2 linked regions of the Caenorhabditis elegans genome follow. The protein of the gene in region 1 purifies or fractionates together with the protein of each later gene. This does not show direct contact. Each region holds a gene or a part of one and is shown on either strand. Other genes may lie near its edges. The genes, in order: mlc-3 and C04F12.8.

Region 1 (16,481 bases):
AGTTATCTGCAACTATTTTCTTTTCAATTTTTTAAAAAACTTGTTTCAGGGTTGTGGTCTTTCTGTAAATGGACGTTTCCGAGTTGCCACTGAGAAAACAATGCTAGCAATGCCAGAAACCGCACTTGGACTCTTCCCAGACGTCGGTGGATCCTATTTCCTTTCAAGGCTCAAGGGAAACCTCGGAATGTACTTGGCACTCACTGGATATCGTCTTCTAGGTGCTGACGCTTTCCATGCTGGTCTTGCCACTCATTTTGTGGAGTCTTCGGAACTTGCGAAATTGGAAAAGGAACTTGTGAATATTAAGGATGTGACAGAGAACTCTGTCGATGAAGTCATCAGATCGTTCGAGCCAAAGAAGATTCCAGAATTCAGTCTGTCCAAGAATTTGGCTCAAATTAGAGATTCCTTCAAAGCAAAGTAAGATATTTTGTCACCAAGATCACGTGTATTTGAGTTGGAACAAATTAAAAAGTAGCATTTCATCGAATTGATTTATTATTGTTTCTCAGATAATATTAGTTTTAAGCAAAAACTAGGAAAGGGCCAGTTTTGAGGATTCGATAGCACACAAAAAATTACATTTGCCTAAGATATATAAAATAATTGATTTTTCAGAAGCGTCGAAGAAATCCTCGCAAGCCTCGAAAAAGACGGATCCGACTGGGCAAAGAAGCAAGCAGCCACTCTAGGAAAAATGAGCCCAACTTCCCTGAAAGTAACTCACCGACAAATCACCGAAGGAAGCAAGATGAGCTATGCAAAGATCTTCACAATGGAGTATCGTCTCACTCAACGATTCCTCGCCGATAAGGATTTCCATGAAGGGTGCCGAGCCAGTGAGCAGAGATTTTGTAGGGTTTCATTGAAAATTTGACTCATTTTTCAGTTCTCGTTGACAAGGATCGCAAGCCAAAGTGGAATCCAGCGACGTTGGCTGATGTGAAGGATTCTGTCGTCGATAACTATTTCTCGCCATTGCCAAATAATTCTGATTTAAAATTGTAGAGGCCAGAATTAGCGGAAAATTGAATTTTTAATGGAAAGCTAAAAAATCAGGGAAACCCATAATTTTTATCGGATTTCCTCGTTTTCCTATCTTTTCACCCAAAATGTTGATTTTCCCCCATAATTTTTACCATTTTAATAGGAACCCCTTATGTATTTATTTTTAGAAAAATGTCTAGCTATAATTTAATTTTTCCGGGTGTACAAATAATTTCCGTGCCTTTTTCAGCTATTCGCCGTATGAATATAAAGTTTTTTTTTGTTTTTGAATTTTATTTCCAGATTTCTATTGCAAACTGTTATTTTCTGTTTTTGTACCTCTTTTTCAAATAATTTTTATTCTAGAATTTCAGATTTTCAATACCAATTTTCAGATGACAATTGGCCAAGTGAACGGCCGCGCTCGCATAAAATCCGAGTGCGGCAAGGATCAGAAATGCATGCCACTCGAGGACAAATGGCTTCTCGTTCCCGCGTTTTTGAAAGTTCGAGGACTCGTCAAACAGCATCTCGTCAGTTTCGATCATTTCGTGCAGGAGGAGATCCGAAGTATCATGCTCTCCAATCAGAAGATCACTTCCGATGCAAATCCAAACTTTTATCTCAAATATTTGGATATTCGAATCGGAAAACCCAGCAGTGAGGAGGGTCTCAACATGACTCACGATAAGATTACCCCTCAAGAATGTCGACTACGAGATATGACCTACTCGGCGCCAATTTCAGTGGATATTGAGTACACACGTGGTAATCAAAGAGTATTCAAGAAGGATCTGATCATTGGTCGAATGCCGATTATGCTTCGTTCGAGTAAATGTATTCTCAGAGATCTTGCCGAAGAAGAGCTTGCAAGAGTTCAAGAATGCCCATATGATCCAGGAGGTTATTTTGTGGTCAAAGGAAGTGAAAAGGTTATCCTGATTCAAGAACAACTCTCCAAAAATCGTATTATGGTTGGAAGAAATTCAAGTAAAGAACTGCAGTGTGAAGTACTTTCGTCGACGTCCGAGAGGAAAAGTAAGACATATGTGACTATGAAGAAGGGTAAATATTCTGTTCGCCACAATCAGCTCACCGATGATGTACCAGTTTCCATCATTTTCAAGGTAAATTTTGAGAATTTTGATGACAACTGAAAAAAAAAATGTTCGGCATTCATTCCTAAATATTTTATTTAAAAAAAAAAACATCCAATACAAAAACATTCTCCGAAAAATATTTTTCCAAATTTTGATGCAAAAAATATTCTCAAAAAATGTTTTAGAATAAAAAATAATGAAGCTTTCTTTCTTTCTGATTGTGAGAAACTGAACATTTTACGATATTTTCAATCGAAATTCCTCAAAAACATTTATTATCGAATCTGGAGTTTTTCAGATTTTTTTTTCCAAAATTCGAGTTCGCTTTTTTTAATTCAAGAAAATTATTACAAAAAATAGGGAAAATTTTAAAAAAAGTGTAGCATTATGTTAAAACAAAAACTAAAAACCGCTTCCTTTTCAAAGTTTCAATTTTCCAGGCGATGGGAGTCGAATCAGATTTTGACATTGTGAGTACAATCGGTCACGAGGAGAAGTACGTTTCAGCATTTGCTCAAACTCTCGAAGAATCCATAAATGCCGGAGTTTATACCCAACAGCAGGCACTCGCATATGTTACCTCAAAAGTCAAGGCTCGTAAATTCACACCATTCGGATCACTTCCAGGAACTTCAGTGAGCGTCTTGACTCCACCGAAAGAACACGAAGCAGTCGATTTTCTGTCCAATTCAATGATCACACATATTGCTTGCCCAGATGGAAATTTCAAAATGAAGGCGATTTATTTGGGATTAATGACAAGACGACTGATTCAAACGGAACTCGGAGAAAATGGGCTTGATGATCGGGATTTCTACGGAAATAAACGTTTGGAGCTCGCTGGATCATTGCTTTCGTTGCTGTTTGAGGATGTATTCAAAAGATTCAACTCTGAACTGAAAAGAATTGCAGACAATGCGTTGATGAAGACAATGGCTGCACCATTGGATATTGTGAAGCATATGAGACAAGATATGATTACGAATACTATAGTGAATGCTATGTCGACAGGAAATTGGATTATCAAAAGATTCCGAATGGAACGACTTGGTGTTACACAAGTACTAAGTAGATTGTCATATATCTCAGCACTTGGTATGATGACAAGAATCAACTCGACTTTTGAGAAAACTCGAAAAGTCTCTGGTCCTCGATCCCTTCAACCATCTCAATGGGGAATGCTTTGTCCGAGTGATACTCCTGAAGGTGAAGCTTGTGGTCTTGTGAAGAATCTCGCTTTGATTAGTCACATTACAACTGATTCCGATGAGAAACCCGTTCTCAGATTGTTACTCAATTCGGGAGTCGAGGATTTACATAATGTGCATTTCTCGCATGTCAATAAGCCGTGAGTTTTTACAAATTAAAATTTTAAGTGTGAAATCTTGAAAAATAAAAGTTTTGAGAATGCTAGTTTTGAAAAAATCGCATATTTTAATCAATTTTTATAAATTTCTAAAATAAATTATCAATTTCATAAAAATTAGATTTCAAATCGAGTTAAGGTTTGACAATTTTTGAAAATTACTAGATCCATTTTTTTGTGTTTTTTCCTAAAAAAAAGGTTATTTTTATCGAAAATTTTCAGTGAAAACACGTTGATCTTCTTAAACGGAGTGCTCATTGGAACAGCTGTGGATCCAGAAAGAGTGGTGAAAGCCGTCAGAGATTTGAGAAGGTTTCAACAAAAAAATGTTGCCAAAAAATTCATCGAATTTCAATTTCAGAAGTGGACTCCTGTCAGAATTTGTTTCAGTATCCCGTTCTCTAACCAATCGTTCTGTTTTCATTTCATCAGACGGTGGCCGCCTGTGTCGACCATATATTATTGTCAAAAACGGAACTCCAATGCTCACACAGGCTCACGTGCAGGAACTGAAAGAGGGAAAAATGATTTTTGAGGATTTTGTTGATGACGGAATTGTCGAATATTTGGATGTAAATGAGATGAACGATGCGTTGATTGCCGTTTATGGGAGAGAAATTGGCCCAGAAACTACACATTTGGAGGTACGTTTTTGAACTTTGTGAATCTAAAAATGAAAAAAATTAAATCGAAAACTGGTTGTTCTTTCCTGTAAAGAAAATTCAAAAAATTTGGTAAAATTTGTCTGAAACTTAAAACTATGTGAAAAAAGTTTAAATTCTCATTTTTTTAAATATAAAAAATTGAAAATCAAATTATTTAGAGCTCTAAAATTCTATAATTCAAGGAAATTCCAACATTTAAAGATTTTTATCCTTAGTTTAAAATAAAATTTGCACTTTTCAGTGTCTGAGCTATTAATAATCTTTCAAAATTTCCAGATTGAGCCATTTACTCTTCTTGGAGTGTGTGCTGGTCTTATTCCATATCCACATCATAATCAATCTCCACGTAATACTTATCAATGTGCTATGGGTAAACAAGCAATGGGAACAATTGCCTATAATCAACAGAAAAGAATTGATTCAATTATGTATCTTTTATGTTATCCACAGAGACCACTCGTTAAGTCAAAGGTTCGTTAAAATTGAAATATTTTAAAATTTATGAAAAAAATTTGATTAAAAAATGCATGTTTCATTTATTGAACTAATGTTTGTGGAGAGATATCGTTAATAATCCTGAAAATAAAAATAAATCAATTTCCTGAATTCCGAAAAATAAAAAAATCAAATCGGAAGTATCCGCTATATCTTTCTAATCAATTATTCTATTCAGAAATTTTTAATTTGTTTTTCTTTTAGAAAATTATCAATTGTTCAAACTTTTTACATCACAATTTTCCAGACAATCGAACTGACAAACTTTGAAAAACTGCCGGCCGGCGCGAATGGAATCATCGCAGTGATGTCATACAGTGGTTACGATATCGAAGATGCTCTTGTGCTCAATAAAGCTTCACTGGATCGTGGTTATGGTCGTTGTCTGGTCTACAAACATGTGAAGGGAACCGCCAAAAAATATCCGAATCAGACATTCGATCGTCTTCTAGGACCAGCATTGGATCCGAACACGAGAAAACCAATTTTCAAGCACAAAAATCTCGATCAAGAGGGTATTGTATTCGCCGGAGCACGTATTATGCCGAAACAGACGATTATCAATAAGCACATGCCAGTTGTCAGTGGAGAAAGTGGTCCTGGAGCGTCGGCTTCTGCCAATACAAGTATGTTGAAATGAGCATGACGAATTTGTATAAGGAAAATAAAAACGGAATGTACAGTTTCGAGAAGACATCTATTTTTTTAAAAGTTTTACGAAAAAAAACACGAAAAATATAAAAAAAAAAGAATAATAAACAATTCCCAGACCAACCTCGTAAAAATGAAAGCGAGTTTTCAACAGAAACCCTGTTTTAAAACTTTTTCCAAAAAATCTGAAGTATTTATAGCATTTTTTAATTTTTACCAATTAAACAAATGTTTTAAAAAAAAACTCAAAGAAACTGTCTCCGTTCTTTTTTGCGAATATAAATTTTCTAACTTTTTTACGTTCACAATTAAATAAAACTTGACATTTATTCCGTTCAAATATTCAATTAATTTAATTTAAAACGAAAATTTAAATATAAAACTCTGAAAAAGTAAAAAAAAAAACGTTCACTAACAATTCTTTAAATTTTCAGTCGGAATCGCTGGACGCCAAGTTGACTACAAAGACGTCTCGATCACGTATAAAACTCCAACTCCATCATATGCGGAACGAGTTCTTCTTACCTATAATGAAGATGAAGCTCATTTATTCAAAGTTCTTCTTCGACAAACCCGTCGGCCAGAACTTGGAGATAAATTCTCATCTCGACACGGACAAAAAGGAGTATGCGGATTGATTGCTCAACAGGAAGATATGCCATTTAATGATCTTGGAATGGTGCCAGATATGATTATGAATCCTCATGGATATCCATCTCGAATGACTGTCGGAAAATTAATGGAATTGTTATCTGGAAAAGCTGGAGTAGTGAATGGAACATATCATTATGGAACAGCATTTGGTGGAGATCAGGTTAAAGATGTCTGTGAAGAATTGGCTGCTTGTGGTTATAATTATATGGGAAAAGATATGCTGACAAGTGGAATTACTGGACAACCATTATCTGCTTATATCTACTTTGGACCAATCTATTATCAGAAGCTCAAGCATATGGTTTTGGATAAGATGCACGCCCGTGCCAGAGGACCGAGGTGTGGAGAGATTTTGAATTTAGATAATGTCTTGTCTGGAAATTCTGAATTTTGGAAAGAATTTTCAATTAAATATTTAAAAATTAAGTTTAGCAACAAAATCTGAAAAAGAAAAATTTTTAGAACAGTTAACTCTGCATTTTCCAACTTTCCTTTAAAACTTTTGATGTAAAACAATGAGGAATTGCAACATTTTTTTAATTAGAAAATTTGGTATCAATCAAAATTCACTTATTTTTATCATGGTTAAAATTTCGAAAAAAGCCAAATTGAAAAAGTTCTGAAAAAGGAATTGACAAAATGCTCGAAGCTTAGGAAATTAGGGGAAAAAAGAATCAATTTTTCATAGTGGAAATACATTTTTTTCAAATCCAATTCGCGGAAATGTTATGCATATTTTGGAACAAAAAAAACCATTTTAATTTTTCTCACATTTTTTAAATTAAAAAAAAAACTTTTTTTAAAAATTTTTTTCAATTTATTCTCAGAGTTTCTTTTAAAAATCTATAAATTTTCAGAGCCGCATTGACTCGCCAGCCAACAGAAGGAAGATCACGAGAAGGAGGTCTACGTCTTGGAGAAATGGAACGTGATTGTCTCATTGCCTATGGAGCATCGATGCTGCTTATTGAGCGTTTGATGGTGTCATCAGATGAGTTTAAGGTAAATTCCCTTACCGAGTTTTTTTTAAAAGTTTGCTACTTTTGTGTGTGTGCGCGCAATTTTTGCTCATCATTACACTAGCCGTAACACTCTCAAGTGGTTCTTTTTTGCGAAAATGAGGAGCGAAACTGTTGCGGGAGAGACTGGGAGAAGCCTTGCGTGGGTTGACTTTGCGGGTCGACTTTTCTTGGAAACTGGGTTGACGTTTTTTGGAAAGGTTCTTGAAAATTTTTGATTTACCGCAGAGAAAATTATGGATTTTGTTTGATCATGAGAGAATACATTTCCCGACTTTTATCTGAAAATATCGAAAAAAAAGGTCGGAAACCGATTATTAATTTTTTTTTGAACTCCCACTTTTTTATAAGAACAGAGAAATCGATTTTAAAAAAAGCATTTTCCCTAAAAACTTTTTAAAAAAAGCAAAACTTTCTATTTTAATGGCTCTGAATCTCTGTTGCTCGGAAGTTAAAAAAAATCAAATTTTCGGTGCTATTCGAGCAAGATCCATTCCCAAATAAAAAAAATCTCTCACAATTCAGCGATATTTCGGAGTTTTTGAGAACATTTTTTACTAAAACCGCCTTTTCTTAGTACAGTCGTACCGAAAATAATATTTTCTGCACCTGTCCCAGGTGGCAAACAAGAATCAGAGATCTAAAGACTTGGAAGTGAACCTCACATTAAGATCCCTCCAGGAAACCTTCGGAGCTCTCGTCTTGATTCGCTTCTTCCTTCCTACTTTTCGTTTTTTTTTGCCCACAAAATAGTCATCGAAGAAGAAGAAGAAAAGATGAGATTTTTGCCCCGATGCGAGATGCCTGGTGAATAGTGTGATCTTCGTGGAGAGATGTCTCGCTGATCTCTCCTTGATTGCCATTTCACTATATCTTCCACCCCGAAGTCTGTGGACTCCACTGATCTCCGCATCTCTCGTCATTGAGTAAAAGCATTGGCAGAAGAGAGAACAGAAGAAGGAGGAATAAGAAGGAAGAGATATCTCCACAGTGGGTGCCTGTGCTTTTTCTTCCCGTCGGCTGTGCTCCTAGGAGTGGAATGCCGAGAAAATGTGCGATTGAAGTGGCACGCGGGGAGGATAGAGAAAGAAAATAAAGATATTGAAAGGGAGAATAGAGAAACATACGTTTACAACGAATTAATCGAGTTCGGCAGCCAACACGGGAAAAATGAACTTGTGAAGATGTGTTAAAACACAAAGATCTTATTAATTATTGAAGAGGGAGGAAATAAAATAAATTAACATTTCGAGCATTGGGGTACTGTAGACCTATTCCGTAAACAGAGAAACAAAATGGTTTAGCAGAATTCGCGGACTGAGGCGAGAGGCAGGCGGAGGTTGCCTTAAGGTCAGGCAGGCAAGCGTTTTAATGCAAAAGTAATGGATACTTGTTGAGCCTTATAATAATGTGTCGATATTAAAAAACACAAGTATGGATTTTTAACATAAAAAAGTTAAAAGACGCATGCTTAAATATTTTATAGGATAATTTGGTACTCCTTAAAACTCAGTTTGTATAAAAAAACGATTCGATGAGAGTATAATAGATTTCCAATGTAACTTAATAAATTTCTTGTTTTCCAGGTCGACGTGTGCACTGGATGCGGAGTAATCGGCTCGAAGGGTTGGTGCCAAAAGTGTCGTTCGAGCAAGTCAATGGCGAACATTAAGATTCCGTATGCGTGTAAGCTGCTCTTCCAGGAACTTCAATCCATGAACATTGTCCCGAGGCTGGACTTGGCCAGATACACCGAATAACCTTGTTTTGTAATTGTTGTTGTTGTTGTTATGCTTCTTCTTTCCCCTTCCCAAATCATTTTTTAATCTATTTTTTACTTGTTCCCCGAAATTTGAACATTTTTTGTTGTTTTTTTTGTCATACATTCATTCTTAAACTTATCATGAAAATTTTCTAGAAAATACTTGTTGAAACAGTACGCCGCGCTTTCTCGCTCTCACATCCCACATCTCGCCACTCTATCTCTTGAGCATTACATCCCTCTCTCTATCTCTCGGGCTCCCGAGGGGTGAAATAGTGTACTCGCGCGGGAGTGCGGGAGCTCAATATCCGCCCCAATCCGCCCCCATCCTCTACGAAGAGTCACACACAGTTTACACTTGGGTTGCCACTGCTCTGTCGCCTTCACTCAGTTTCCACACTCAGTCCCCCCTGCTCTGCCGCCGCTGCAACACTCACACATCATCACATAATGGCTCCACCATCCCAAGGTGAGTAATTTTTTAAGCAATGTCCCCAGCTCTTAGGGATACCTTATAAGGTTTTAGGACTTCTAAAACATTTTATTTTTAGTTTTTTTTTAATGTTTCAAAAATATATCCAATTCCCCAAATATATCCCTACAATCCCAAACATTTTTTCAAACTTGAAATCGTTCTAGACGTGCTCAAGGAGATCTTCAACCTCTACGATGAGGAGCTTGACGGCAAGATCGACGGAACCCAAGTCGGAGATGTCGCCCGCGCCGCCGGACTTAAGCCAACTCAGGCTATGGTGACAAAGGCCGCCGGACAGGAGTTCAAGCGTAAGGGAGAGAAGAGACTTACATTCGAGGAGTGGCTCCCGATGTACGAGCAACTCGCCAAGGAGAAGGTACGGTATTTTAAACATCTTGCCTGTGCCTTTAACCTTTAGCTGAGAGTTTTTTGAGATTTAGGGATCTAGGGGCCTCGCGCCAAACCTTTAACTCCCGCACCGAGTGATAATCAAACAAAGAAGATGAAGCTTGAGATTTGTTTTATTTCAAGGTCTAAGTAAATATTGGATCTCAGAGGTTAACCCCATACAGTACCCCTAGCCGAAAACTTTTAAATCACAACTAAGGGTCTGAAAAATCTGAACATCCTCTTCCACCGGCACATGCCAGCCGATCCCTAGAACTTTAGAGAGATAGGCGGCGGCGGCTCCCGTGAAGCATGTGTGGGAGAGGAGCACATAGGACTCTCGAGAATCTCTCTTGGCACACACAAACACACACATAGGCACAGTGTAACAATAGAGAGCATCATCATTCTGCGTCTACTGGGTCCTTGTTGTAGATATTTGTATGGATAGGAAGTAGTAAGGAATAGGCAAGGGATCTTGAGTAAGGATCCCCATATACGGGTAAAAGAATGGAGTGAGTATATATGAAGCTTCTAGGAGCTATTGAGTTTTGGAAAGAGCTGCCAGCTCAGACTATTTAGTGGAGGTTTAAGGTAAAAAATCCTGTAGATCTTTGATTGAATTCAACTAGGGCATTCTCTGGACCCACAACCGTCAGTATTTTGAAAGCTTTAAGGCAACCAGTTTCTTAGAAAAGATTCAAAACAGCACATGGAGATCTTGAAGAGCCAATAGAAACCTACGAACTGAGCTCAGAAGACTGGACAACTCATAAAGTTTGAAATAGCAAGTTTGGCCAGATATTTTGGGAAACACATTTCGCTTTCGTTATTAAATAGTCTGCGAAGTTTACCTGAGCACATATCTACTCAAATTTGACAATCTGAAAGTCAGTGTCTAACGAATTTTGGATAGAATCCTAAGCGAAAATCAGAGAGTTCTCTGGAGCTTCGGGATGGAATTAGCTGATGTTCGAGGTTACTGTCACCTGAATAGGGAATGATTTATGTTTACTGGAGTTAGATGCCTACCTTAGGGTCCGCATGTAGAGCAGATCATCATTCATTTAACATTGAGATTATAAACTGAGAAAATTGTTCTTTCCAATATAAATTTCCAATTTCTTCAGGAGCAAGGAACCTACGCTGACTTCTACGAGGGACTCAAGGTGTTCGACAAGGAGGAGACTGGAAAGATCTTGGCCGCTGAGCTCAGACACATCCTCTTGGCTCTCGGTGAGAGACTTTCCGCCGATGAGGCCGATGAGCTCCTCAAGGGAGTCGAAGACGGAGAAGGCATGGTCAAGTACGAGGGTAAGCCGATTTTTTTTCTTCTCGGAAATTTTTTTTAATTGAAATTTATTTCAGATTTCATCAAGAAGGTTTTGGCCGGACCATTCCCAGACCAGGACTAAATTTTTGGATCTGAATCTGTGCTACACCCATTATAATGTTTAAATTTTGAAAAAAAAAACACCATCTTCTCTTACCCAAATTTTTTGCTCCCCTTTCCCTTCTCTGCCTTCTTTCTCCCCGTTCCAAATAACGATGTTTTACTTTTTTGTCTATAAACCCATCGTCTAGTCGCTCGTTTTCTTCTACGCTATACACGTAAGAGATTCCACTCGCGTGCGCGCATTCCGTTTTCTGATCCAGAAAACGTTTTGCACTTTAAAAATCAGCGCGCGGTTTTCTCTTCTTTTTCTCCAACACATTCAAGCCTGTTTCTATGATCAAGAAATTTTCTTTCTTTCTTCATTTTACACTTTTTTATTCAGAAATTCATTCGTTTCTTATATTCGTTCTCCTTTTTGGATTATAATAAAAAACCTTTTGAATAATTATGAAATGGAAATTTTGGTATAGTACATGTAGTAAGTTGAAAGGCTGCTAGAAATATCAGCTTTTGAGTCGATGACCTGATAAAAACAAACTGCCAGTTTGATTTTTATCAATTGATTTATTTTCCGTCTACTGTGCAAGAACGGTAGCTTCCAAAAAATAAGAAATTGCCAAATTATTTAAACAATTTTTCGTATATATTGTTAGCTGACAACTATTTTTTATTGTATCACCACCTAAATATAGTTTTTCAAAAAATATCACTCAATCCTAAAAATTGGTGAAAAGAAACAATTTCACCTTAAAAGCTTTCAAATTGAAGTTAGAGTAGCGAAACTGTCCACTTAAATATACTAAAGACCCAAAATATTGATTTTTGTAATGAAATGAAACTCTTGGAATTCTGTCCAAAATTTTTTATGACGGTTAAAAATTTTAAGAAGAAGGGCTAAAAATAGCTTAAATATCAAATTTTGCCAACTTTTTCGTATAGAAGCTGCCAGAGTTTCAAAAATATTATCATCAAAGAGTAAAATTATTTATTTTTGAATGTTCTGCTTGTTTACTGAATAGTTGCTAAGAAGTTAATGCCATTAGTGTAGAAAACTAGTAAAGCCTACTCAAACTTGAAAATCATCATTTACTCTTCCCCCTACAAAAAATTTCAAAATCAAAGTTTCAAACTAGTTGATCAAGAAAATTAAAGAAAATATAATACTTTTAGAAGCTGAAAACAGTTTTGCAAAAAATTGCATTTCTAGTTCAAAAACTGAGAGCTATTGAATTTTTGTTAGGTATTCCAAAAATGAAACAAACACCATTAATTTGCAATGATACAATTTTATTAATTTTTTTGAAAAAAGCAGTTTCAGATCGATTGATTTGCAAGATTTACATAAAAACGTTCGTAATTTCGATTTCCGACAATTCAAGCGGTGGTTGGCTTCTGATTGTTAAGAAGAGCAGATGGACGAGCAAATGCACGTGGAGCAGCATCATCCTTATTCTTGTTTGATCCCCAAGCCCAGACTGATGGATAGGCTGCAGCGGCTACGTATGGAGAATAAACTGATGGGTAGGCGTAGGCAGATGGAACATAGGCGGCCGAGTAGGATGGGACAACGTATTGTTGATGGGATCCGACGATCATGGCGCAGAGAAGGACGGCGACGAAGCTGGAATTTGAATTTTAGGCCTGATTTTAGTTGAAGCCTATTTCTAGGTATTCTGCTTAAGGTTTACATCAATCTTACGTCTAAACCTAAAATAAGCTTCTTGAGCATTAACCTAAGTCTAAGACTCAGCCTATGCCTTAGCCTTTCTAAGCCTAACTTAAAAAAGATGACTTACCACTTGGCGAACATATTGAATTGAAGTGACTTGAAATGTCAGTATTGAACTTTCCGATATTCTACGTTTTATACTCTACCAAACCTTTACAAAAACTTGTACATAACCAGTTATTTTCATTATTTCTTTATGGAAATCTTCTTGCACAAAGAGCTTCTATATTTACTCAAGTAGTTGACACATGCGGGAAGTCTTTGGCGGGAGAAACTTCTAAAAAAAGTACGCAAACGTTTTGTTACTAATATATACAAATAATGTAATAAACTAGTTATTGGATGATTTATGGTGTCATAAAGTAGAAAAGGGCCAATTTTTGGGTGTACCACTGGAAGATCTTTGAAAACCAAAGTAAAAAATTTTTAAAAAAGTTCGATCTCCCAGAAACAGTTTACACAATAATTTTTGAAAATTCATAGTGAACGAGTATTGAATTAAAAAAAAACTACTTCATTCGAATTTTTCTTCAAAGTTATTAATCCAAAAACTAAAAAACTAGAATGTTGGTCTGGAACCTGAAAATATTTCAAAAATGTGTTTTTTTTTCAAATATCGCGACCAATAATGTTCCAATCTTCAGAATCCTTTAAAAATTTTTTAATAAAATTTTAATTTAAAATTGTTTAATTTTGCTCCCAATTTTTCAAGATAAAAGTTAGGACTCTGTACGTCAATTAAAATAATTTGCTCTAAAACGTTACAGAAATTTCAGAAATTGCATCTCCTCAAAAATTATTTTTTTTGGCATAATCAAAGTTTTGAGAAAAAATGCAACGCTTTCTTTCACAAATCCCCTTCGTTTATTTTCATCTTTTCCAATTGCCCAAAAACAAGAAAAAACGAGATTCCCGTGGATTCTAAGAAGGAACATGATTTTATAAACAAATGAATGGATGTTGGCTGCCTTGAGCATTTATAGCATTCAATGCTTAATGTGGGAACTATTTAAGTACTTCCACAGTTGTGAGACCAAAACAAAAGATTTAATGTTATTTATGGAAATGATTGTGTTCAGTTGGGTAATTTTACCCTCTCAATCAGAAATAATTATAGTTATTTTTGATTAAAATAAATTCCCATTTTCTGCGATTCCAATTAAAAATATAAAACACTTATTTTATTATAAAACACTTGTTTTAGAAATTAGAAGACGTTGAAATAAAAAAAAATAATACTCCGGTAATATTTTTGCCGTACCAAAGTGATATTCATAAAAATTACAATAACCGATCTAAAAAAAATTTCCAAAGAATTATTCGATTCATTCACAGAACTTTTATTTGTCAATATCAATTCAGAACCCTTCCATCTCACGTCTTGACTTACCAAGTCAACCCATATTATTATTGGTTGCCGCCAAAGTGTGCTTGCAACTTTTAGAGTCAGGTGACCAGATCATGGTCATTGACTTGCTCCGTGAGCTTAATGTTACAAAAAGCTCAAAAAACTTGACAGGAAGGTTTCACAGAACGGGTAGGTTCATATTTTGACAGAGCGGCAAAATTTACAAAATTTCTTTATTTATTGAAATGTTTAAGAACGCTAGCAAATTTTCAGAGAACATAAAATCAAAGATTTATATTTTTAAAACCGTTCGGTTGTTGTCTTTCACTTAAAAGTTAAGTGTTGTGTATTGAGCGACTGTTGTGTATTGAGCGAGTGACAAGGAGAGAAGAAGTTTATTACAAGAGAGTGTAAGAAGTAATGAATTATAAAGAGAGGTCGCTTACGCGATAAGTTCATGATGACCCAAAGGTCACGTCTGTATAAAGTTCAGGTTTACGTTCCGTCCACAACATTAAGATTTAAGCATAAAATATTTTTGGCACCAGACACGTTCAAAAATTTCCGATCGCAAAAATTTCAAAAGTGGAAGTGTGGAAACTTTTCGACAATCTGCAATACTTAAAACAACTATACTGAAGAAACAATTTTCTTTGGTAAATTTCCGAGCATTGCCGAGCTGCAAGGTTTAGACAATACGCCAGCAACTTGCGATTTCAATATTTTTTGGCAACCTAAAATTTCCGCAACCGTAGAAATCGATAAAGTTAACAAGATCCTGTGAACGTTTTGAAATTTCATTTTTTTTCCGCAAACCTCACAAATTCTAATTTCAGAAAAGTGAACTTGCAACTTTGCCCTTTTTAACTATCATCTACTCTCGTGTCAATCTTCCCCATTTTCATCGTTTTTCCCATGATATTTGTAATAATCTAGGTCAGGAGCAATGTTTCTGTCAGGTGACAAGATCATGTAGGATATCAATCACTGCTGCTCCTCACTGTTCACGAACCGCCGTGCTCGGCGAGTCCCCATGGGACACGGGGAAGAGGACGAGGGGACATTGCTGGAAAAACATGTCACTAACAGAGATTTCAAGCCAAGTAATAGTCACACAAAAAAATGGGACATAAACACCCATTCTTTTGGCATGTAGGCAGTGGGCTTCTATAATCCCTGCTCGTCTTCCTTTTCTTAGGACGTAGTAACCATATTTTAATCCAACCAATTTTTCATTTTCACATACAAGAGAGAAAAGTAATCCCACTCGTCCGATTGAAAGTCTATATTTCATTTTTCGAATTTTTCAATAACATCTTGTTTGGTTTCTGGAAATTCCAGTTGCTCAATGCTTGTGGCAACATATTTCAAAAGTTTGCTCAATTTTGAGTTGACCTAATTTATTTTGTAAACTTTGTTTCTCATTGTGCCCATTCGTTAGAAGTTTGAGTCCGTTTTGCTGTAATTTTTTTGGTAATTTTTGGTAATTGGTAATTGTTGACCAAAATTTTTACAGACTGTATATGTTCCAGAAAGGTACAAAAAACCAATTTTGTTGTCTACATAACCACCTACGCCTGCTTTCTCAAAAAGAACATATGTTCTCTATTAGTTCTGAACCCCATCTGTAGGTTACCGTGATTTTTCTTTTCATTGTCTTCACTTGAACCTCTGAATACGTGCATTTTCTGTGAAAAATGAGCAAAAAAGAATGCTCAATCTTTCATTTATTTACCATGAATCACTTCATTATTTTTTTGATATTCTCACATTATTCTCCTTTTCTCTCATTTTTCTTCCGTTTTTCACCCATTATTCAGACATTCCAAAGGACCCTCTTAAGTTGTTTGGAACACAACAAGCTTGTCAATTTGTTCCGGCTTCATCCTCATCTTTTCTCGTTTTTTATAACAGTAATTTGGTGAGAGCACAATGGAATGTGTGCTCTTTTCTCTTTCGGGAACTCATTTATACTTCGTTGTAAAAACATTTGAACTTTTGTGTCGTTTTTATTCCGTCTAAAAGCTTTTCGTCAACTTTCATGTGTGGCAGGTGTGTTTACGAGCACATGCCACGTGACGACTCCGCCCATTTTGAGCCGGTAGGACATTTTTTGATTGCTGGAAATTTTTTGGGTTCTGGGTTTGTCGGACTTCATAATTTCGTTTTTTTTTAGTATTTCCCTTTTCAACTGAGTTTTTCCTATTTTTGTGAAATCCTCATCGTTTCTTTTTATTTGCTTTAAATAGGTTTTATGAATTAATTTATGAATTTTTTATATTTCCAAATGAAAGCATCAATTTTCAAATTAAAAGGAAAAAAATTCTAAAAATTAAGGTTTTTATTTATTTATTTCTAGATTTAACCAGATTTACTTTTGTTTCATACTATATTTTTTCAAAATCCATTAAAAAAAGAATGCTCCTTTGAAAGTTTGAAAATTT
Region 2 (16,481 bases), on another chromosome or scaffold:
CTGAACTTTGACAAATCTCCTCACGAATTTATCCATTTATTCATTTCTAATTTTGATCCCCATTTTGTTTTAAAAACGATTAAATCAGTTTCCAAGCATCGCCACGTCATCTCTCGTTTCCCTGCCATTTTCTTTTTTTCATTTTCTCGTACCAATTTCCGGAGATTAGCTGGAAGGAAATAGAAAGAGTAGGACTCCCGTGATTTCTGGCACAAAAACACTTTGGATGAGAAATCAGACGAATTGAGTGAGTGGGGAGTGACGACAGGAAACGAATTAGAAGATGTCTCGGCGATAAATATTCCTCTTTTTTTAGTTTTTTTTTTCGAAAAGATCTCTGTGTACATGTGTACAGATTAGATGTGAGGTTTAGTGACGAGTGCTTAATCTCTCAACTTACCAATCTGGATAAACATTTTTTGGATAGATTCTCATTATTAGGATTTAGAAGAGGATGTTCTGTTGAGATGAGGACCAAGCATCTCAAAGTTTAATCAAAACTACAAAGCATCTCAAAATTGAGTCGCTCAGAAAATGACTGTTCAATCAAAACTACTGAGCATCTCAAAATTGAGTCGCTCAGAAAATGACCATGAAAAAAGAAAATAAATGAAATGGAAAAGAGTTATATTCTCCTCCTCGCCAATTTGTCGTTCCTACTCCGTCCGCACCTATCCATCGTTCACATCCAAAGTTCCAATTGAAATGCCTTTGAAAGTACTGCCATCCAGCCATTTGCTATCGAGCCATCCCATTTGGTCCATCTGCCGTACGTCCGTTCGATTCCGGGTTCGATTTGATTCATCATCTGTCGAAGGTGGAACTCTGTAAAAATAACAAAATTTATCCGAAACAAATGCCGAGGTTCCCTGTCATCAACGGATTTTTAGGGTTATTTTTCGTAGGCGGATTAGAAATTGAAAACTTACCTTTAATCGATGTTGTCTTCTCCAGGTAGTTCGTTGAACATCTTGTTGGCGGCATATTCGAAAACCGAAAATTCGTAGAATAAACATTATGACAAAAACTGCAATGTTATATAGCAGGTCTTATCAAGATGTACCAGTTTTTTAAATGACCTCCCATTAAAGTTCATTAACAAGTTCGTTTAAAAAATGTCAAAAAATTTTTTTTTATTTGTAATTTTTTTAACTGAACTAAATCAAGTTAAATAATTCAAACTGTGATTTTTTACGTGACCGGAAGGTTAGAAAAGAGGGTATTGATTCTCATTTTTAGTTTCAAAAATATGGCTGAAAAAGTGTGTGAATCAGTTTTGAACATTTTGATTGGCAAAAAAATGCCATTGAAAGGGATAAATACATTGACATTCTGTCTCTCTTTTTCTCTTTTCTAACCTGTTTTCCGTCTGTTTTTGCCCTTTTCAATGTTTTCTTGTTTACCGCAATCATTTTCAATTCTCGTCTTCTCAAATGTATTTTCTTTTCGCTTTTTTAGTCCAACTCTTGTCATGGCGGGTTCACGAGACAACATGTGAGATCATCTCTATTTATTTCCTTGCACCGCTCTGACCTTCCTCTCTCCAAGTGTGTTTCAGTTTCACTTGAAGTTTTAAAACCAGATATTTGAATTCATCGAATACCGGATCACATGATTTATAATTTTGGGCTGAAAAACGGTTATCTTTCTGTCAATAACAAGTGAACGGTAAGCGGAGATTCTTATGATTCACCATTTTGCAGCGGAATGAAAAAATCTCATTTAAAGAATAGAATGAAAAATCGGAACAACATATGCCTCTTGTGAATTCAATTTTGTGCTCTTTTAAAAATTTTCGCGTAATAATTTTTCAGCATACGGTCCACTTTTTCTAAATGTATTGTTTTTCTTCAGAATATTTGTGCTGCACCCCAATGCTCCAACTTAGGTTGCTCACACCCCACCTGCAATCAATACCTGATCTTGGAAACTGAAAACTCTTGATTTCTGATTTCTTGAAAGTTTTACCTCTCCTCTCTTAAATCTGCCCAAAAGAAGATCCTCTGCATCATTAATTGATTTCCGTTCCATCTTATATTTTTCGTAATCCATCTTCCATGAGCAATTCTTATCTTGGAGTCAGCTCATCAAGAAAATTTTATTTTTCTCTCCTCTAATCTTGCCAATATTTCCTTTTCGGCTTTCCATCTAATCCAAATTCGGAAATAAAATCCTAATCTCTTGAGCCTAGAGAGCTTTAACGTGGATATGTAATACATGGCTCTCGATTTTGAATTTGCAGGTTTAGAATAATTTTCTTTTTTGTGACAGCTAAAACCCCTTCAATTGTTCATTCAGTTATCATTGGACTAGAAAAAGTTGTGAAAAAGTAAAAATTAAGAGACAAGAAACTTCATTCACTTGTTACCGCTTCGACGCCTTTCTTCATTCTATTTTCATCTTCTCGTCCCGTCTGAATTGTGCTCTCTTTGTTCATTTTGTGAATAAGTAGTGACGACTGCTCACCGACAGCAGGAAGGACATTTTTCAGCGTCTGATCAACAACTTCTTCTCATTCTTCTTGTTCGTGTTTTCTCACCTTCTTTTCCCATATAACTTGTTTTTCATTTTCCTATTGTTATCACTCATATATATTCTCTTATTTTATTTTGTTGCAAGTTTATGGGAGCCTCTATATCTTGCACTTGTTTTTGCATATAACTTTTGAACGAGTATTGCTCAGAACCATTTGATATCATGATAAAAATAATTCCAAAAAAAGGTGGCAAGCAATATCAGCTCTGGAAAAAGTATATCATCTTAATCTGAAAACCTACATCATTTCCGGTTTTCTGTTGTCAAGGGAGGCAGTTGTGTAATGTTAAAGTGATAAATGATAGATATATCACTAACACAATCTTCTAACTTACACAAATCGGAAAAGTTATCAAGAGAGACCTCGATTATTGTGTAACATCTTTATTTCTCATCCTCCTCCCAATTTCAGCTGATTTCTAGATACAATCTTTGAAAGTCTGCGTCTTTTTTGAGCTGATCAACGATCCAGTGTCATTTGAAATCTAAAAACTTCTAAAAAGTGGCCCAGAAATTGTCATTTTCCCACCTCAACCACTCGATTTGTTTGTCTCTCAAAAAAAAGGTCGAACACGAAAATATTTGCTGCTCTTTTCTATTTGGACAACTCTTTCTGTTATTATTGTGATTGCTGATTCTCCTTTGATTTGCTTTTTATTCTTTAGTCGTTAGTTGTTTTTAGTTCTTCGCAGGCGGTTTTTTTTAACTTTCGGTATTTGTGAAAATTAAATGGTTAGAAGAAACCAGAGAGCATAAAAATGTTTGAGCTTTGAAAACAAATTAATCTGGTAGCATTTTTTCAAAAAAACAAAAACTTCCAAAAACCTTGACCAATGTTTGTTTAATCCTATGAATACATTTAAGATCTTTGACAGTTTATTATAAAAAGTCTGCATTGAAAAAAAGTCTACAAGCATCAAAATTTATTTTGAAAAATTCACCAAAAAATTTCACATTGAAATAAAAAAAATGCAAATTTTTAAAATGAAATTTAATTCCATTTAAAAGTGTGGAAAGTGTGCTCGAAATTGGCTGTAGGTTGCAATTGACAAATAAAGACTTTCAACTCAGATCTACCGAGAAATTCTCAATAAAAATAAATTTTATTCTCGAATTACCAAAATATATTTTGTATAAATAAACCTATGTTTATAATTAATTTGAAAATTGGGTTATTATACCGAAACGAGCAGTTTTGTAAATTTGAAGATGACGCACACCCCTGTAAACAAATTGAGAAAGTATGGTCATGCCAAAGTAATAGGTAATCACCTCTTTTTCATATGCAGAGGGTTGTTTAAAATTCTTGGAAATCTTGAATATCATCTTCTTCTATTTTTATCTTCCCATGTCTTTTTGTCTACATTTCTCTCAACCTACACTACTTTTCATCCATTATCACCCTCCCTCAAGCTTTTTCTAGTTGTATCAATTTCGTTTCTTTCTCTAAATCTCTTTATTCTCAACACTATTTCACATTCTGAGCAAGAAGATTACACCTTTGTCCTACGGGTACATGCGTACTCGGGGAGATGATACTTCCTCCACAATTTTGTGCCATCGTCAAAGATCAGTAAGAGTAGTTAAGACTCGTTTGTTTTGAGAAACAAGTTTCATTCTTTAACCATTTTCCCCAAAACAACCACAATTTTCAAACTCTTACCTTCACTTTCACTTTTGATTTGAAAGTTTCTCTAAGACGTTTCTAGAAACATCTTGTTTATGCTTACTGTGGAAATGGTTTCATCAATTGTTTTTATAAAAGAAGTCATTTGTTATTTTGGACGATTTTGGTTTATTTTTCTCAAATTTTACGAACACAGAATTTGAAATTATATGTTTTTGCTAAGTTACTGTGCAGCAGGCTGATGTGATAATTTCGGCAAGTTTTAACCCACTTCCTACTGTGAAAATTTTAAAAAAAGTAAATATAAAAATGGAAATAACTAAATTTTTGGAAAATTATAATTAAATTCCCTCACTTATACAGATCAGAAAATATAAGAAAAACATAAGTCAATGATAAAACTAGAAATAATTTACTAAGAAAGGCAATGCAATTGGGCATTCAAATGGGAATTTCGCCAAAACTGAACATTTATCAATTTCCAACTTGAAATAAAAAATTTCTGCAGATTGATTTCTGGAAGCATTTTGGCACTCGCCGATTTCTGAAATTTTGTAATATTTTCGGAAACTAAAACGTAAAGTTTTTCGCACAATTTTATAACTGTAAACATCTCACAACTTTGAAAATGGTTTCACTCACACCGTCACAAAGCTAACTCTGAAGTTCCATAAGCTTCAGGTGATTTAAAGCGAGAAAACTGAGAACTTCTATATCTAGTCATCTGCATTCTCTCTTGATTCCTCTTCTTCTCACCCTCTGAACTTTTACTTTTTAATCGTATCGTTTTGGCTGAAACGATACCCTCTCACTCCCACAGGAACGCATTGTTCCTCCTTTCGCCACGTCATTCACTTCCAACAAACAAGTCACCTTCTCCTCCCACTAGTTCTTTGTGAGCAAATATTAGGAAAAGTCAAGGAAAGGGAGAAACAAAGGGTCGAGAACCAGGTGATGATCAATGTTTGGGTTGCCAACTACCGTTTGACACACAAATCTTTACTTTCTTTTCCACTTGAATAAGTGATATGGATAGGTTTCTTAGGTACATTCTCTGAAGATAGTCTAGATTCTTCTAGAGAAACTCTTTTGGGGATTACAATTTTTATTCCAAAAATTTTTCAGCTTATTTTTCACAGATTCATAAAATTTTGATAATTTTGGAGGTTTGGTGAACTTGTTGAAATAGTCAAAATTGTTTTGAGCGTTTAAATTTTGAAGTTTTTAGAATTTTTATTTACTTCATTGGGTCAAAAAATGAAATCGTTTCTTAAAATAGAAATTTTCAAAGCTTTCAGATTGTTTTTTTAAAGATTAAATGTTTCCATATTGTGAAAATTTCATGAAAACGACTTGAATATTATATAATATTAACGAACATAGTTTCACATATTAAAATTTCAAATCTCATGTATCATCTCTTTATAGTTAACTTGATTTTTTGAGTCATTACTGGAGAAATGCCCGTTTTCCAATTCCAAACTGATCGAAAAAAGTTCAAGAGAAAAATGACCGCATTTATCAAATGTAATAACAGGGTAAGAATTCAGGAAATGAGTGGGCTCATTTTGTGTCACGAGAACCAGATGCGTTTTTGTTCGGAAAATGATGAGTTACATTTTGAACATTTCGCAAAAGTCCAGCAAGAGCTCAGTTTATTTATTTTTTCTTCCGTTAGAACTCAAATCGGTGTTTTTTATATTCAAAAAACATTCTCTTCCAGTTTCGTCCACAAGAAATTTTGCGATATAAATAAGAAAGCAGGTGTGTCTAAAAAAGACAGATTATCTTTGATTCCTCAGAAACCGCAAAAAAATGTCGAATTACAAAATATTGTTACTGTTTCTAACCCATCTTAATACATAAATCATCAAAAACCATTTCTCGAAACAAGAGACAAAATGTTTTTGCAAATGCCATCTCTCTTTTCCTCCACTAATTTCCTTTTTCATTGCCCAAATTCTTTGCCGCCGGGGGAAACAGTTACTAACTTTTTTTAAAAATTTTTCTCTCTATATCTCTTTACCTTGTGACCGCCATTTACCTTTGAAGTTTGTCGAAAAATCCGGTTTTGTACCAATTTTGCAAATTTTTCCCAAAAATTCATTTTTTCAAAGGAAGTCTAACTACCATGTAATGTATTCTTTTGTCCTTTTAAACTGCCTCTCCTTTTTCTAAAACTCTTATATTTTAGATATATTTAACTTTAAAATGTTTTTCAGAAATATGTCGAGGAATGTTGGTGTTCTCGGACAAATGTCTGAAATTAATGATCATCTGTATCTTTCGGGTGCCGGAGTTTTGAAGCCAGATAAAATTAAACAAAGAAAAATTAATATGATTGTAAATGCAACCACTGAAGAGCCATCCACGTATATGCAAGGTTCGTTCGAATTTTCCTTAAAAAAGAGAAAACACCCCAATCCACCAGCCATTTTTCGATTTTCCACAAAAATACGGAAAAATCAAAAAAAAAAAAAATTTCGGCGATACTCTTGCCCCGGAAAAACTATAAACTACCTTTTTAGAATCAATTTTGATAAACTTATACCTATTTCAGGAGTTGACACAATGAAAATTCGAATTGAAGATCATCCATATGCAAGGCTCAGTGAGCATTTTGATGTTGTTGCTGACAAAATCCGTAATGTTAAGGTATATTTTAGTGTTTAAAATCTTCAACTTCCTAGAGTTTTTGAAATGTTTTCAAAATTATGTTTCATTTAAATGTTTCATAACTTCTGTTCATCGTGTGGACATTACGATTTAAAGAGAAGGAACGAAGACACAAAAGAGAAAAAAAAAGTAAAAACCAGTTGTTTGTACTCTCGACGGCCGTTCTTAACTGAATTTATGAGTGTAGGCGGAATGGACATTTTTACGAGTGAAGAGAAGAAATGGAAAGTGTTACTGACTGGAGTGAACTTTAGAACGGATAAGGGTCATGGCAGAAATGTTATGAGAGTTTTAAAATCTGAAAATATAAGGGAATTACATATTTTGTTAGAAGTTATGGAAGACAATTTGTTCTTTTTTTAAGACTAGGCTTCTATGTAGGCAACAAATGTCTGCACACCTGCCTTCAGGCTTGGCTCAAATCACACAGGGATCCACATGTACTCTAAAAAACGGAGCGAGGTTATAGGCGGCCTCCCGCCGGGCGCCTATAATCTCAGTTCAAATGTATTTAAGACATAAATTTTAAAGTCAGTTCTTTAAAATTTCTTGTTTGTTTTGAAATTGTACAGTTTTTTCAAATCCAATTTTTCAGGAACGAGGCGGAAAAACACTTGTACATTGCATGGCTGGAGTATCAAGATCAGCTTCATTGGTAATGATTTATTTGGTAAAACACGAACATATGACTCTCCGACAAGCATATCACTACGTCAAAGCAGCTCGACCAATTATTCGTCCAAATGTTGGATTCTGGAAACAAATGGTTGATTATGAGAAACGATTGAGAGGAACAGCATCAGTTAAAATGGTTCAGACACCGGAATGTGATATGCCAATTCCAGATGTTTATGCAGATGATATAAGAAGAATGCAGATTAATAGGGAGATCAGTAGGCATTCATTGCCTTCTGCACAGAGCTCCGCGAGCAAGCAGAGAGCTTTTTCAGCAAGGTGAGACAGTTCTCAAACGTTTGCTGCTATTAAATTTTTATAAAATTTCCAAATTTTCGATTTACCGATTTTTAAAAGTTTTTTTGAAGTTTTAGAAAGATCGAGTTTCAAGAAAGTGAACAACTAAAACCTGACTAATTGAAAAATGAAGGTTTGCAAATCGGAAATTCAATAAAGGGATATCGTAACAAATTTCTTCGTTTCTTTAAACGATTTTTCATGAGTTTCGCTAAACTTTTCGGTATTTTTCTCAGTACTAGTACGTTTAAAAATGAAAGAGATATGAGGAATGCTACCGTAAATGTTTCTCGCGGCGAGGGTTCTTACTATAATTAACTTGAATATTCCAGTACATACCGTCCATCCGTATCATCTGCCTCATCCCTTGCCACATCATCACTTCGTCGAGCATACAGTCCATCATCACTTCCGGCTTCAAGTCTTGCTCTTACCACTTCATACAGTCTCTTTTCTCCTGCTCCAACAAGAAAACCACGTCAAAGTCTATTCTCAATGTACTCAACTTCGCCACGTCACAACTTTTTCTCGGCATTTTAACAATAATGTTCTACTGTGTCTCTTGTTTTGTATCATATTTTGACCAAAATTTCAATACTTATCTACTATCAAAAATCAAAAAGCTTTCTTCTAATTTCGATGTAGTTCCGCACTCAAATTTTTATTAAAATTGTATTTTATTTTTTTAATTTGAAATTCTTAACTTTTTTTAAACTTTTCTAAACGCGAAAAAAAGTGGTAACGGGTTGATTTTTCCCCACAAAAACACACAACAATCAACATATTTTCCCATTTTTCCTTTGTCGCTTATTGTCACACACAAATCCAAAGTTTTTCTGTGTATATCATTCCGATAAACATTTTAAAATCTTTTTGGTTGTTGTTCTGAATTTCAGATAAATTATTGAAATTAATAATTAAATTTCTTTCACCTGTTTGGTTTTGGATTTTAATCACGTCTTCAGGAGTAAGGGCCTGTCTACTGCCCACTTTCTGTTTGTAGGTACATAGTGTCAACTAGGCACAGGACGAGGGTCGCCCAGAGGTCGAACAAGCTTATAGAAAGTGCCTTGCATAACTTTTTTCAACGTCAGAGAAAAAATTCAGATCAACTCTGAAAGTGCACATCTGCTGCTGAAAATTCTACCTATTTTAATTGAATTATTTTAAACGACACAGTTTTACATGGAAGTGCAATGTTCAGAAAACTTTTCTCCGTGAAATTGCGTAAAGATTTTGTATTAAATTTAAAATTCTAAACAATTTCACGTCAAATTTTCATGAAAAACGAACTTTCCTACCTCAACGCGATGCCCTACTCTATTTATTTGACACGTCGTAATAAATGCTCAGTTTCTTCACAAATCAATCAGTACTCGATACTAACTAACTTCTCGTCTTCAATCTACTAACCTTCAACAAAATGGGATGCTTATCGTCAATTGAAGCACCACTTTGTGCTGTCATCACTGTCATCTTCCTAGTCAGTGGTCTCTACTCAACTGCATACAAAGTTGCCGGATCAAAAACGGTACTCGATGAGACTGCTCTGGATACTAAAGGTTAGTTTTGCATTTTGTTTCAGATACAGGAAAAGTGCACTGAGCTTGAACTTGATGTAGTTTCAAAGAAGACCTTTGAAACATACAAAAGTTCATGGTCAAATGATCACTTTGAACTATGTCAATCTGAAGTTGTTTCATGTTCTTTTGAAAAAAAAAAAAAAAAAAAAAAAAAAAAAAAAACCTGACAACAAAAAAAAACCTGACAACAAAAAAAACCTGAGAACAACTTCCAAATGACATTGGTTTTATCTGTACATCGAGAATTAATCTCGAACATATCGACCCTAGAAATATAGAATGTTTCAGATATGTTGATGACCGCATTGGCACTCATGTCACTCATTGGACTCTGCTCAACTCGTCGTGCATTTGGTGTCTTCACTCTTCTCTTCATGATGCATGCATTTGTATTCTCAGCTTTCCATCTTGCACATACAATTGCACTCTTCATTAAATCATTCGATTCTCCATGTCAATATCTGAAAACTCCCTCAACTGGAACACTTAATTCGGATATCTGTCATGCTGTTAATGGAGTTACTCTGGTGTGTGCAGTGATTTCAATGATTGCTACTGTAAGTTTCTTAGATTTAATCTAATTAGTTTTATCTGAAAATTGTTCAGGCTCTTGCCAGTATGGCCGTCTTCATTCGTCTCACTACAGTCGTCGTCAAAATTTCGGATAAGAGAGTTATGGCAACAAGTCGTTCATTTGACAACTCAATGCCACAATTAATCAGTAGAAAGTCAATTGAATCGGAGAAAGAAGAAGATTGTTTGGAGACACCAAGAAGAAAAATGGGACAAGCTGATATCTTTGTGTGATTTTAATTGATTTAATAAATATTTCATTAACCCTCCGAGTAGCAAGAATATACATTTTAATAAACGGGATCTCAGCAACAACTTTCTTGATACTCCCTCCTTGACTGCACATAACAGTCGATAAATTGAAAATTATTTTGAAAGTTGCAACCAGCACACCAGCATTTTCAATTGCCCTTTTTCCCAAAACTGAATCTTTAGTTCTTGAAAAAACTAATTTTCTGGATAATCTATTGACTTAGAAACATAACTTTTTAAAGTTTTAAAAGCTTGAGATAAAGTTAATGTACAATTGTGAAATAGTAGTCGACGAATTGAGAAAAGTAGCTTAAAACATTTTCAGACAATTTTTCTCGTAATTTACATTAAATTTCAGTTTGAAAAGTAACTTTGGTTTTTAACGGTGGAGTTATGATGGTGTTGAAATAAAAAAATCGAAAATTGTAATTCTGATATATACGTGATATATTCCAATTTCTTATCAATAAAACTAATCTGGCAAAAAATCCCCCTCCACGAAACGAAATCGAAAATTAAATTATTTCGGTTTTAGTCCAACACTTGGAACACATTTCGATTCGCATCATTCGCAGTGGTTCAGTTTTTATTTAGAACTGGCGGACATCCAGTTTTTTGGATTTCGGATGTCCCCGATGTCGCCCTCGATAGGTAACATGAAGGAATAAGTATTTTTGCAGCTCACTCAAGATGGCATACGTCAAGAGCTTCTACATGGATGCTAGTTTGGAGAGCGACGCCGACGTTCTTCCAGCAACGGAGAGTGACGTGTTCGAGGCACAATTCATTGCCGATGTCCCACTGAACAGCGATGCAATTGCCCGTATCATTGATTCTCAACTCGCGTTTGAGCAAAGCAATCAGGTGGTTTCGGACTATTGCACCGAGAAGCCAGTGGAGCTTGAAAATCCAAATCAGCTGGCAATGAATAACTCAGTTATGGACAATCAGCAATACTTTGCACCGCCAAAAACTGATTCGTCCCACTATGCATGGAACACGAATGACGTTGTCTCTTCTCATCATCAATATGCTGCACAGAGTCCAAACATCTACACCAACGACTATCATACCAGTGAACCATCTGATTATGTCTATATGTGATTTGAAATAAAATGAATTTTTGAAAAGTGAAATTTTTGAAATAAAGTTTTGAAAAGAAATCTGTCTTCCAGTTTGAATAAGAATTTTTAACTTTATTGAATTTTTAAATGTTGTCGTGATTATAATTCTGATGATTGGTAAATATCTTACAAAAGAGATTCGAAGATTATTCAATATGATGGTTGAATAAATAATCAGCTATTCATGCCTTTGAGCATTCTACAAAGACTCTACTTGCGCTCGCATAATACACCCGAAGCAGTTAGAAATATAACGATGAAACCAGACAAAAATGTACAGAAAGTGTTAAATAACCGAAGTTAATTACACAATCTATTAAATGATTTGTTTCAGATTTTTAATTTCTTTTCGGCGTTTCTATGAATTTATTGAGAATTTAGTACTATTATAGGTGTGTTCTGTTATTTTCTTAATTATTTCTCAGAATTTTTTTCCCAAAATAACGGGTAATGTAAGTAATTTAAGTTAAATTGGACAATGGAAATTGGACAATTGGACTCAATAAGTCTTAATGACTTGCACTTCCTATTAGAATTTCTCTCAAAATGACAAATCGAAAAATAGACTTGACTGTAATACTAATAGGGAAAATACGCGAATCATTTAAACAAAAAATATTATTATTACACGTTTCACAAAAAACCTTATCTTTTCAAAAGATCTTTTTGAATATTTTTACCAGTTTTCTTCAAAAAAGAATTTATTCCCAACATTGTCCACTTTTCGATTCGTCGTTCAAGTGTGATAATATTCATTTCCTGATTTGAACACTCAATAAAGAGCTTGTCAACTGCAAGTTTGCGACTATCGACGCTATCAATGGACGTTCAAGATATCATTGGAATTGCTTTGAACTTGGCAACGGCCGGATCTCTTGCAGCAAAAGTATTGCCTGGATGTGGAGGAAAAGTGAGTTTTGAACTGATTAGTGTTCTAGTATTGTACTGAAGCACAAACATGGCACATACCTACAAAGGTTGTGTACGCGATTGTTTTTCTCAACTAAGCAAGTCGCCTTACTTTCAAATATTACAACTTTCAGAAAAAGGGGAAGTCGGTTGAAGGCGAATCAACTTCGAGCAGCAAAGGAAATGGTGCAAAAACTCCAGAAGGAAAGGAAGGATCCGAAGCCAGAACACCATCAGCTGCTGGTTCAGCAGCTCCAACTGCTCCTGCGGAAGGTGCAGCCCCTGCTGCTGGAGCCCCCGCTGCTGTAGCACCAAAACCTCCAATGGCTGGTTAGTTATTTAGAAACAAGATAAACTCTTGCTGGAATTGGCAATGATTGTTTCGAAAAGAAGGATGGAGCACCAGCTGCCGGAGGAGGAGGACCAGCTCCACCAGCGAATGCAAAACCCGGAATGGCAGCAACCCACGACCCGAACTATCAAACATTGGCTGGATTGGATAACAACGTATTTGGAAAGAAGGATGGTGCTGCTCCAGCTGCAGGTGGTGGAGGTCCAGCTGCTCCAGCTGATCAGAATGCAAAAGCAGCTACTCACGATCCGAATTATCAAACACTGGCAGGATTGAATAACAATGTTTTTGATAAGAAGGATGGTGTAGGTGCCCCTGCTGCGGCTCCTGTTGCTGCTGGAGGAGACAAGAAACCAATTCAACCGAATGATAAAAACAAGAAGGCTGCTACGATGGATCCTAATTATCAGACACTGGCTGCAGTTGGAGGAGATGTATTCGGAGCTGATAAGAAAGCTGGAGGAGGAGGTGGAGATAAGAAGCCAATTCAGCCGAATAACAAGGTATATTTCTAATCTCGGTGCAATATTTTGTTATTTATTGTTTTTAGGGTCAAAAGGCAGCAACCATGGATCCAAACTACCAGACATTGGCAGCTGTTGGTGGAGATGTGTTCGGTGCAGATAAGAAGAAGAAATAGACGAAAATGATCTGAAATTCACAATAAAATCATTTATTCGCCTAATCTGTTTTGCCTTCACTTAATTAAATAATATATTTAAGTAAAGCGCCCGGTTGCCTCTAATAGTACGCAGTATACAGATCAAGTGTTTCAGCTCTGTTATTATTTCAGCAAGAGAGATTTAAATAAAAAGCATGTTGAACAATTTTTGAAAGCATTTATTAAAGTTTGTCAATTGAAATATATTCAGGAATGCAACAGAACTTTGAATGGCCATTGATAGTGAAATCTACTATTTCTTTTCCCTGAAATAAATTGAAATCCGGAGAAAAGAGATGAAAAGTCGATGAAAGAAAATTCCGCAATAAGAGACGTTTTAAATTACAGTAATCTTTAAAGGCGCACACATGTTAACAAAAATTTATCGTGTCGAGACCGGCTACCGTATTTTTTAATGATAATAAGTAAGTGAAAACCGGAAACGTAATCAACGCCGATTTCAAGAGCACAGGTTTTATAATTTCTGATCAATCTGAGAATTCACACTTCAATTGGAATTGTATTTTCAATAGGAATGGCAGTATTTAAATGGATAATTGTGTTTCGATTACTGGTTGAATGGATCGAAGTTCACAATGTACGACCTTTGAGAACACAATTTGAGTCGCAAGAATATCGAATTCACTCAAGTGAAAAATAACAATAAATGTTAGAAAAATTGTTCATGATGACGGAATTTCTTTTTTTTTCTGTTGAATGTACTCAGGAATAACTGACGAATACCAAAAACAGTGTCAGAATTTTTGTTGCTTTTGCCACGTCATGTCTTGCAGAGAATCCCTATTGCAGAGAATCCTAGAGAATCCTAGTTTACAATGCATTGCCGAGTACATATTGACTCTGTTTTGTCCTTTTTCCGAAATTCTCAGTTTCCGGGCAGTTTGTCGTTGTCGGCCGCCTATCCTTTTGGTCGACAATTATCGAATTATAAATGGAACAGCGAGTTTTGGGAAACGGAAACGAGCTCTCGGATCTTCAGAAGTTTTAGGTTAAACGTGTATGCTGATGAAGAAGAAGGAGTGGAGGTCATCTGAATTTTGATTTATGCTAAGTGACATTTTCTTTTTTCCAACTCTTTTCTGCTTCAGACCCACTTTCTCTCACTTGTCTGATGTTCCACTTTTATTTAGAATCGTATTTTAAAATAAATTCTGTTTCGAAAGTTTTTTTAGGCTTTAAAAAATCTGTTTCTGTTAAGAATGTTTCAAACTATTTATTCTACAGTAAGATTATCTACAGTAACTTATGTTTGGCAAGGCACATGATTTGATGCATTCGTGAGGTCTCACCACGAACAAAATTGCATACGGTAATAATTGGAGAACATTTTCGAAAATTCGTTTTTTCAGCTCGATCTTGGTTTCCTTTTGTTTTTTAAATCATCTATATTTTCCTATAATTTTTTTTGTTTTTTTTTGTAATTCATGCATCTATTTGTGTGAATTATAACCGAAAAAATTTAATTCGACCTTAATTTGAACCCTTCATAGCACTCAAAATGGCCGGAAACAGGAGGAAACAATTTTGAAACATGTTGTATCTGCCCCCATGTGACTTTGAATTTTAGTGGAAAAACTAGAAACAGAAAAAAGAATGTGTGAAATAAGTGGGGACTCTGCTGCATCTGTCCGTTATTCAGAATAGAACCTAGAGGTGCTTCTCACCTGAATAATAATAAAAGTTATGAAGAGAATATAGAGAAAATAGAAGACGGACGAAGGAAAATGACGGAGAAAAGAGTCCTTCTTCGTCCGGAAAACTGCAATCTTTCACTGCCACCAGTTACGAAGCGTTTTGACGAATTTCAATGAAAAAAGCGGCTCAGAAAAGGGGAAAAGCATAAAAGCATACGAAGAAAAGAGTTAACACTCATCCGTCCTTCAAAAATGGACAAATTTTGATCCCTCGCTACTCGTTTCCGTTAAGTCTTTGCTCTCCTTTTTTCGTTCCGTTTTGTTCCAAGTTTCTTGTCTCTCAATCCTGATGATGTCCATAGGGTTCGCATTGATTCAGTTTATTTTATATTTTCACATTTTATTTGACTTCAGCTGATCTCTATGACACTTCGAACTTCTGATTCTTACATTTTAACTATTTTCAGATGCGGTTTCTACACCCACCTGTCATTCTTTTATTACTGGTGCCCGTTTCTATGGCTATCATTCAGTGTACTCACTACAGAGTCCCACAAGGACAACCGATTCCGAAGGCTGAGCGAAACGTGAGTTCAACTGCTATTTGTATTGATAAGATTTTGCATTGCTTCAGCCAAGATGCCATTCGAAAGCAGAATATTGTGTGAAGGTCACCGGAAGCAGCGTAGGAACTAATCTTCCGTTCATTTCGGGCCGATGCGAGCATGCTGGTGAATGCAAGGACCACGGAAATGACTGCTTCACCAGAACCGACACTCAAGGAAAAGAGGAAGAAATCTGTTGCAGCTCTGGAAACTTCTCAAACCACGGATCAACCACTCCGCTTTTCACTTCTATCGCACTTTTCATCACATTGCTTATTATGTTTTGTTGAAGTCAATTTTAGTAATAAACTCGCCAAGCTATAAATTTCGAACAATTTTTTAAACAACATTTCATTAAAAACAAAACAACGTTTTACTTTTGGGCCTTCTTCAGTTTGGCGAGCTCCACTCGGACGATTCTGTTTCTCATCTGCTTGGCCTTCATGAGCTTGTATCTCTCGAAGTCGGTGAGCTTGGCTCTCTGCAAGTAAAAATGGTTAAAGTGAGCCGAAAATGCTAATTTTAATACAAAAACCAAGCTAACTTTAAAAATATCGGAAATAGTGACTTACGATAGCTCTTTGAGCGATCTTCTTGGCCCATTGAGTCTTCTGGAAGTTCTCGGTGACCTTGGCGGCATCGAAAGCTGCCTTAACTCCCTTGGTGCGTTGTCCAACACGGAGCTTGAGGACGAACTTGGTGAGCTGAAGATCCTTCAAGTTTCTGACGGTGCGAGTGACATCGGAGGATGGTCCATCGATTTGAACCTGAAAATAACAATTAGAAGCCTGTATTTATGTTTTCTTGGGGCTACGTGTTTGCTTAAAACAAACGCTCAGCTAAATTTATATCGATTATATTCGAAACAATTTCAAAAGGGAAGTTGTGATTAATCATAAATTAACAATCTAATTACTAATTGTTCAGTAAATCACTTTAACGAGCATATTTCAGTGA

The links.
Region 2: the proteins of mlc-3 (region 1) and C04F12.8 fractionate together in Caenorhabditis elegans (co-fractionation; one large-scale study listed by BioGRID). This does not show direct contact.

The regions. Positions count from the first base shown.
Region 1 is NC_003281.10:5,555,980-5,572,460, forward strand, and holds mlc-3 (Myosin, essential light chain), read left to right. Parts: upstream 1-9,045; 5' UTR 9,046-9,152; coding exon 9,153-9,171; intron 9,172-9,341; coding exon 9,342-9,553; coding exon of another isoform or gene 9,554-9,595; exon of another isoform or gene 9,596-9,837; intron 9,838-10,694; coding exon 10,695-10,878; intron 10,879-10,932; coding exon 10,933-10,979; 3' UTR 10,980-11,028; downstream 11,029-16,481. Other genes in the region: hach-1 (3-hydroxyisobutyryl-CoA hydrolase, mitochondrial), read left to right, coding at 50-423, 622-842, 893-1,011; rpc-2 (DNA-directed RNA polymerase subunit beta), read left to right, coding at 1,386-2,117, 2,531-3,438, 3,679-3,768, 3,818-4,100, 4,398-4,592, 4,864-5,242, 5,702-6,260, 6,779-6,923 and 1 more; nspb-12 (Nematode Specific Peptide family, group B), read right to left, coding at 12,335-12,581, 12,757-12,770.
Region 2 is NC_003279.8:9,689,463-9,705,943, reverse strand, and holds C04F12.8 (Protein-tyrosine-phosphatase), read left to right. Parts: upstream 1-6,377; 5' UTR 6,378-6,388; coding exon 6,389-6,545; intron 6,546-6,722; coding exon 6,723-6,817; intron 6,818-6,922; exon of another isoform or gene 6,923-6,943; intron 6,944-7,433; coding exon 7,434-7,792; intron 7,793-8,142; coding exon 8,143-8,350; 3' UTR 8,351-8,707; downstream 8,708-16,481. Other genes in the region: C04F12.16 (Transposase), read right to left, coding at 683-825, 930-984; C04F12.7 (Membrane-associated protein), read left to right, coding at 9,234-9,372, 9,682-9,950, 10,000-10,200; C04F12.12 (Retrovirus-related Pol polyprotein from transposon TNT 1-94), read left to right, coding at 10,909-11,322; nssp-7 (Activin_recp domain-containing protein), read left to right, coding at 15,387-15,506, 15,554-15,814; rpl-14 (Large ribosomal subunit protein eL14), read right to left, coding at 15,898-16,005, 16,097-16,291.